Linked DNA regions of Drosophila melanogaster. The protein of the gene in region 1 interacts with the protein of each later gene in a biochemical or structural test. Each region holds a gene or a part of one and is shown on either strand. Other genes may lie near its edges. The genes, in order: cort and mtrm.

Region 1 (4,585 bases):
TGGGCTGCTAGGCGGTATTTACATTTGGCAACCGCTGATTTTGAAGTACAAAAACGAGAAGAAAACCGAGGCAGAAACGCCAGCAGTAACTGAAACTAGTGGAACCACAAAGTTAGCCCGCACACTAAACCCTAATCTGCTGGCTAAAGTCATATATTAATTGAATTCCGTTCTCGCCCACAGATGAGTTTCATTAACGGCTTCAAAAGATTCGCCACAACGACGGTTGGTCTGATGGCCATCGGTATTGGATCGACTGTTATATTCTACACCACCCATCGCCTTGTCATCAAACCCTATCTTCTCGAGAAACGACGCCTGGAAGCCGAGGCCAGTGCGGAGTACCTCTTCCAGCAGGAGGTTCACTCCCAGATTGGCGAGTCAAGACCCAAACGGAGCGAATATTGAGCCAAGGCTGCCAGTGCCGTCATAGACATCTTTACATACTTATAGCCTAGTGATTAGTTACCAAATTTCAACGCTGTAACATGGTGAACAATGAATGGACTTTTACTTTCTTACCTTCACTTTGGGTGGAGAGGCCCATCTTCTTGTGTTCATTTTAGAGTTAAACAGAATGGATTTTTTATGAAAGTAATATGAATTGAATAAATAATGAAAAGCACAAATGGTTTGAATAAAAGACTAGAAACATAAACAATTAAAAATCACTGTGCTCTGTTCACCGTATGCCTTTGTACAGGCTCAGGGAGCTGCACTTGTCCTTGGCCTTTTGCTCTTGCTTTCTCAATATCGCCTCGCGCTTATAGGTGGGAAAGAAGTTCCACAGCGAAAAGGTGTCGTCCAGTCCGCCGGTGGCAATTTTCGTTCCATCCGGATTCCACATCAGGAAGAGGGTGCCGCGATCCTGATGGGACATCAAGTCAACCACGCGGTTTAAGGAGGCCAAGACCAGAATTTCGCACACTGCAAGGTCCGCATCATCTGTAGATATTAGAATACATTATTTTTAGCAAGCATTAAGGATCCAGTGCAGTTCTCACCACGCCGAATAACGTTGACCAGCAACTCGCCCGTGATTTTGCTGTATGTTAGTGTCTTTATAACGATTCTGTCATCCCTGCGCCTGTACGAAGCCACAAATTGTCGGCGCGGGATGTTGAATATGAAGATCGACGCAGGGCTTCGCTCCGCTGTTAAGATAATATTCATGTTGCAGATACTCTAATAATTAATCTGCCACTATCTTACCAACGGCTAAATCCTCTCCAGTCCACGGATGCCAGTCAAAGACTATGGACCTGCCGTCCAACTTGAGCAGGCGAACCTTTAGCACCGCATCGAAGATGAAAATCTTGCCATCCGTATCACTGGATGCGAAATACTTATGGGTGGGAGCAAACTTCATTTTCTTCACCGTGTGTCGATGCTCGCGCAACTGCATCAGGGTGTTTAGCGTGGGCATGGCCAGCACGATGATGACGCCGCACTGAGTGCCGCAGATGACCTCTTTGCCGTCGTGGGACCACTCAATGCAACTTATGTAGCCCATGGACTTGAAGAACAGCTTGCGGTAGGAGACCAAGAACTCCGTAGGCGACCTCACCTCCCAGAGGTCCAGAACTTGTACGAAAGAGGAGGGTTAGGGCTTTACAAAGTTATTGCTTAGGGTCTGTTATACCTGGATAGTTTCTATCCATGCAGCCGATTGCCAGGTGCTTGCCATCCGGCGAGTACTTGAGGGAAGTGGGCGACTCGACGCTGAAGACCATGGTGCTCTCGTCCAGATTGCGCCACAGCATGACATCCTGTCCGGAGGACATGGCCACCATGCCGCCGGACGACCAGTCCATCATGTTGTAGTCGACGGGACTGCATATGCCAGGCATCTCATGGGTGGCATTCTGAATGGCATATGGTCGCGCCCGTGGATTACATGGCCAGTCCGAATCGGCGGAGTCGTTATCGACCACCCTGGATCTTGTGCCCTGCTGGCTGCTAAACTGAAACAGGCGGCGCTCTCCGATGCCAAAGGTTCGGTTGATGTTCGATATGAAGCCGCTCTGTCGCCAGTAGCTGGCGGTCAAAGTGACACCCTGATTGTAAAAGTCATTTTCAATTAATAATGGAAAGTATATATAGCCAGAAGTACTGCACACACCGTTTCGAGGATATCTCGCTCCTTCCGCTTGCCAATGTACTTCAGGTTGAACTCGATGTTCTCCCGCTCAAATCGGTTGGGTATGAATCTTTCGCCGACATAGGACACCTCCTGCCCCTTGCTCGTATCACTCTGCGCGAAAAGAAAACTACGTTTAGGTGGTCAAATTGTTTTGAGGCCCATCATCTTACCTTGTAGGCCGCCTCCTGTTTCCAGTTTTTCCGCCGCACCTTTTTGAAGGGCGTCAGAGACTTTTTGTCCAGCTTGGAATTTTTATTGGGACTGTCACACACACTCATCTCGACGAACATTGAAACATTTCTGTTTTGCTAGCGCCATATTAAATTGGCAACGGATCAAAAAAAACTTACAGTTACAAGTACAGTGAACACTCGATAGGAGTGCATTTGGTCTTCTTTAATGTTTGCCATTTAAAGTGTGGAGTTTATACTTCTCGATGCTTTACATGAAGATGTTTTAAAATTCAAGTTAAGATGTTGCTTTAAATTATTTATTTTCTACCTTGAAATCATTTAGTTAATAAAGCGGACTACTGTTATTCTAGTATCAAAATCTATAGTACATGTCGCGGACATAATGATTAACCAATGGAGCGTCTTATTGGAGTTGTCCATAGGTTGCCGCAGGAGGGGCAAATATCGCGTCTCTGCAAGTAGGTTTGGATGCACCCGCGGTGGTACTGGATGTTGCAGGACCCGCAGCGAATGTCCCACAACACCAGGCACTTGCACAGCGTGCAGTTTTTTATGTTATCGGCGTGGTTCGAGCTCAAATAGAAACTGAGCTCGACGAGGCTACGTGGACCTAGGTAGATTCTGTCGGTCACCTCCATGAAGTAGCCCATTTGGATCCACTTCTGGAGCAGCTCCTGCATGCGGCTCTTCTTCAACGGCTTCGAGCTGGCCTGTAGGACGATATCATTGTAGGCGTCATTCCAGGCGATGTGGCAGTCCTCCTCGGAGGCGATCTTGTCCAGCAGTTTCGAAAAGTACTGACACTCCTCGGCAGTGAGCCCGGTGTTGGCCACGCTGTCCGGCGTAGCGTCCGTCTTGGCGTAAACCAGGTACTCCTCGGCCTTGACCGGATACTTGATGAAGACCAGCAACTGGCCCAAGTCGCTGATGGTGTCATTAATCTCCGCCACCAGTGCCCTAATCGCCTCCTTGCTGCCGGGCTTTGTAGTCTTGTGGTTGGCACATAGCGGGGCCAGGATATCATCGATCAGCTCGAAGCTGAGGTAGCTGTGGTTCTTGCACGCACGCAGGAACCCGCGTTTCACCAACTCCATTGCCAATGACTGAATATGTTTCAAAACAAATCCAAATATACACAATTCGATTCCGAAGCGCGCCGTTGCAGTGTGCCCAGCTATGCTGACGGGCGGTCAACTTCGGTCACACTATTTTTAAAAATCAATCGATGTTTTTTCAGATCTCCGATTTTAAAATCACTCGCACTATTTTTTGGCTTAATGAAGTTTAAATTTATCATACTTTCGGTGCCCCTAAAAAGAAATGCCCATCTATAATTCCTTTCTTTCTGCTTTGTTTCCATTAAAAAATTTAGCAATTATTAATTTTTTATTTATTTATTTTGGTTTTGACTTAAAAATTAACAGCACAACAATTAATATTTTCAGAGAGCTTCGCTTTGTTTTAAATACAGCGTATATATAGTAAGAAATAGGAGGGTCCTAGGTAATATCGGAAAATGTTATAGATCAGCAAGTGAATCAGCTTTGAAACTTAAAAACTAAACCGAATACAATTAGTCCGTTTTCGAAACGATATATTTACACTAACTGGCTTAGAACGAAAAAGCTATAAGTTTATGTTGTGTAAAATACATCAAAAATGAAATAGTATATGTTTGCCTGCGCCTGTGCCTTATAACTTTTTCCCGTAAAATCCTAAGAGCCGGATTCTCGTCGACACCGGACTTTGGACATGCTCCAGAATCTCCATCTGAATATAATATGGTTTGTGGTTTTCGGGCGATTACAATATACATGTTAGCACATTTTTCGATGTCGAATAGATAAGAAGAAGGAAATATGTCCATAAGTATGCGATTAAACTTTTGCTAGGCCATTCAATTTGGCTTGTGTATATATATATATATTTATGTATTTAGGAAAAACTAGGTAAATTGCAGAGGCAAGTTCTAAAAATAATAGAATCAAAGAGGCTATATATGCATGTAATTTATCGTGTTATAAGGTATGGTACTAGTGTACGTTAGCTCGATGATAGAAATCATTTTTATAGCTTCTGTGCCCTTACTGATCTTAAATAGTTGCACAACAACTTTCAGATTTGTGTTTATTACTAGAGTTCCGAATCACATTTCCATAAACAAGGATAAACTGAAAAGTAATATTCTAATTTGTACAGTTTTCACATTTTCGATTTCAGTTGAGACCAATTCAATAAATAACAAAAG
Region 2 (3,833 bases), on another chromosome or scaffold:
TGGATATGGTGCCATTGGCCAGGCCCAGGATCAGGTACTGTCCATCATTGGTCCACGAGCAGCCATTGACACGCGCGGATATCTTGTACTTTTGCACCGCCTTCTGATCAGCCGACCAAAAGGCAAAATCCGACAAGGAGCACGAGGCCAGGTGGTGCGAAACAGGATTGAAGCTCATGCACTGTATGGAGTCACCGTGCCTATGAATGTAAATATATTTTTATATTTATATAAAAAACTAGAATTTATTGCAAGTGTGCTGAGAACTCACGAATACTTGAGCAGTCCCTCAAGCTGAGGTGACCACACGATGACCATTTTATCGGAGGCTCCGCTGGCGAACCGCTTGCCATCCCGCGAGTAGGCCACACAATTGACCGTATCCTTGTGCGCCTTCAAGGTGTTCAGCAAGGAGCCATCGTTTGGATCGTAGATGAGCAACCGATCCCCCGCAGCCACCACCAATTGGCTGCCATCGGGTGCGTAGCACACATTGTGGACACTGGAAAATTGGGTTTTGCAAATACCGTTATGGCGTTATAGCAAGCAACAGGTTGTTGTTTTCCACGAATGAGAAAGCTTTACCTGATCTCATTGTCTTTGCTATTGGGAAACTCTATGCGTTCCAGCCACTTGAGAACACCCCTCATTGTTGCAGAAGTCGAATTGGCTAATCCTGCATAGTTGGTAGAAATTCCTAAATGCAGGTGCGTTGTTTACACACAGATTCCATGGCAACCAACCACAACAAAAGTTGGCGTCTTGGCTGGAGATGGCAGTTTGGCGGGTTTTTCCGTTAGTTTTGGCTTTTAAAACTAGGACTTGACTAATAAACTAGTACTAGTAGTAAAAACAATTTATTTAAAACATAGCCTCATTATCGTTTACCTAATTGTCTAAGTGTACAATATTTAAAAAAAGTTTCTATTACTATCTGAAATGACCGTTATAATTTTTTTTTTCGTGCAAAGTAGTTGGCAACGCGGTAATTGACAGTATGACCAAAGCCAGTGTGCATAAATGCCTAGTTTCGTCAAAACAAAATAAAATAGAATTGTTTTTTATATCAGAACTATTGTTTGTTTTTAAAGGATTTTAGCTACATATACGCTTGAAAATGAACAATTTGGACAGTTCATTGCAGGCGCACAATAAATTGGAGAAGGTATGTCTAGTTGTCATGCTCAAAACCTCCATACTTACCCATTTTCCTCATAGGAAGCCACCAATTTAGCTCTGCTGAAAGATCGAGTGGATAAATACCATGATCTGTCCACGCAAATGTCCAGTATTCTAACAATCTTCGAGAAGCGCCTGGGAAACCTGGAGCAGACCATATTGCCCGTCTACCAGGAGACGGAGCAGCTCCAGAAACGGCAGCAGAGTATGAAAATAAACTCAATGGGATTTCAAAAAAAAAAAACTAATGTGTCACCGCCTCTTTTTTTTTTTAGATCTGGAAGCTACTCTCAATTGTCTGGAAAGCGTCCTGTCCCACTACGATGTCTCCCAAGAGGTCTGCCAGTTGATTCATCAAGGCCCGGTGGAGGGAAACATCTCGGTGTTCCTCGACGCACTAGCCAAACTGCGCGATGCCAACGATTACTTCCGGCACAACAATTCCCAGAGCGTGGAGCTGGAGAATGTCACCAGTTTGTTTAACACCGGCTGCGAAGGCCTGAGTCAGCACTATAGTATGCTCCTCAAGAAGCACAGTGCTCCGCTGAAGCCGGTGGAGTTGCTGGATCTTATCTACATAGAGGACGATTCCAGCGATGAATACACCTCATTCCGGCAGCTTTCGCAAACGACGCGCGAGGAGCTGTACACCATATCGCACTGGTTGGAGCAAAATTTAAGGGAGTACACAAACATCTACGCGACGGAACGGGGCGAAGTGGTTCTCCGATCGCTGCAGCTGCTCAAGGATCACCAAAAGAGCAACAGTTGGGGTCACGAGGCTCTGGTGAGTAAACAGTTCTTTCATATTCTAACTAGTATTAATACATATATATTATGTGGAGAAAAATAGTACGTAGTAGAATATGAATAGCGATGTGTACGATGATGAGCATATGTATGCTTTTCCCATCTCTGATCGTTTCGGTTAACGGTGTCTGTTCGAAAAAGCTTGTGCATGTAAGCATTACATGTCCAATTCGATGACCGCCATTTGCCAGCTTGAATTCGCAAAGAACGCATCATTTTCTGTGTCACAGTATCTAAAAAAAATGGAGAATTCTCGCACGCCCACGAACAAGACCAAAATTACGCTTAATCGCACGCCAACGCTAAAGGAGCGCAGATGGAACACCCTGAAGGTGAACACCTCCAACGTGCGATGCTCTACTCCGATCTTTGGCAACTTCCGTTCGCCCAATCTCTCGCCCATCGAGAATATGGGCACGAAGGGGAAGAGTCCAGTGTCGCCCATGCGGTTCGCTACCTTCAAGAAAGTGCCAACGAAGGTGCATCCCAAGCAGCAGCAGCAGCAGCAGCATCAGCACTGCCATCGCACTCAGCTTAAGCCCCCGCCATTCGTGCTGCCCAAGCCGCAGGAGGAGATCATCGAGCCGGAGCGAGAAATAAAGAGCTGCAGCAGCCCGGATACCTGTTCGGATGACTCGAATATGGAGACCTCACTGGCCTTGGAGTCGCGTCGTCGTTCCATCAAAGCATCGAACCACTCGTACGTGGTTAACCATGCCGCCAATGTGGAACAGATTCTCATGCACATGGGCCTGGAGAACTATGTGACCAATTTCGAAGAGGCTCACATCGATCTGGTGGAACTGGCATCCTTGGAGCGTGCTGATCTTGTTAAAATCGGCCTAAATACCGATGAGGATTGCAACCGTATCATGGATGTGCTCCACACTCTTTAAGTGAATCGCTGGCATGTCCATCTTTTATCATACACTAAGATTTTAAAATGTTTTATGTGAAGAGAAACTTTGTGATTTTAATATATGTGGATAATTAAGTAGGTATTCTAGAATTATTGTAAAAGACCTGGTGTCTTAAAGCTCGTCGTTTTTAGCCTTAAATAATAAACTCTAGTACACTTTAAGAATCTATGTAATTCCTAAAATGTTGCTCCGAAGCTCATTTACAAATTTAAATTTATTTCGTAAGCTAGCAAATTGCATAATACTTTTTGTCAAAAAAAAAAAAAAAAATTGGGGTATAAACGCTTTTGTAAAACACACATTTTTAAAATTAATAAACTCATAAGAATCAAATGCATATTAAAAGGTTACAAAAATAAGAGTTTTTAATTTGCTACCATTTTAGTACCTTAATTATTCCGAAGAAACATTAATGCAATGGCAATTAACAATTCAAATTAATGTTTTTAAAATGTTTTCTTGCAGAGACCGCGACACAGTGGACGCCAAACGGAGCCAAAAAAGACAACCTCCGCTCGTCTTCAGCAAATGTGAGAAATATTACTTAATTTCCAAGTTTTCGTATATGATATATTTAATTTATTCTGCATAGATTCGAAAAGAAGGCGAACAAGTTATATTTACGCGCGACGCAGACGATTGAGCAGTCCACAGGGTTCTCCATTAAGAAGGCATCATCGCACAGCGACCACCTGACCTCCGAGGATTTGATGGATGGCGATCAGGAACTGGACAAGTATCTGGTCATGTTGCTGGGACTGCAGCGGTTACTTAACTGGGAGCGAGCCATCATGATCGACATTATTCCCCAGTCGAAACACAACGAGGTATTCGCCACCTTGGCCTATAATGCCATCGATCTGGTGGTTAAGGACGCTGAGGCCATTACGCAACGCATCCTGCGCTGCATTTCCCGCAAGGAGT

What was found.
Region 2: the proteins of cort (region 1) and mtrm form a complex in vitro, tested with the Drosophila melanogaster proteins (one study listed by BioGRID).

Annotation. Positions count from the first base shown.
Region 1 is NT_033779.5:6,674,118-6,678,702, forward strand, and holds cort (cortex), read right to left. Parts: upstream 2,519-4,585; 5' UTR 2,434-2,518; coding exon 2,314-2,433; intron 2,255-2,313; coding exon 2,123-2,254; intron 2,058-2,122; coding exon 1,643-2,057; intron 1,585-1,642; coding exon 1,213-1,584; intron 1,155-1,212; coding exon 1,005-1,154; intron 946-1,004; coding exon 683-945; 3' UTR 565-682; downstream 1-564. Other genes in the region: cup, read left to right, coding at 184-197; CG34310 (uncharacterized protein), read left to right, coding at 1-111, 189-408; Nse1 (Non-SMC element 1), read right to left, coding at 2,724-3,431.
Region 2 is NT_037436.4:8,410,844-8,414,676, forward strand, and holds mtrm (matrimony), read left to right. Parts: upstream 1-2,168; 5' UTR 2,169-2,231; coding exon 2,232-2,885; 3' UTR 2,886-3,260; downstream 3,261-3,833. Other genes in the region: Oseg1 (outer segment 1), read right to left, coding at 1-200, 272-502, 586-650; Exo70 (exocyst 70), read left to right, coding at 1,118-1,165, 1,219-1,384, 1,455-1,966, 3,375-3,439, 3,502-3,833. UniProt on the Drosophila melanogaster protein: Polo kinase inhibitor required to maintain G2 arrest in the meiotic cell cycle in females. Holds heterochromatically paired homologs together from the end of pachytene until metaphase I.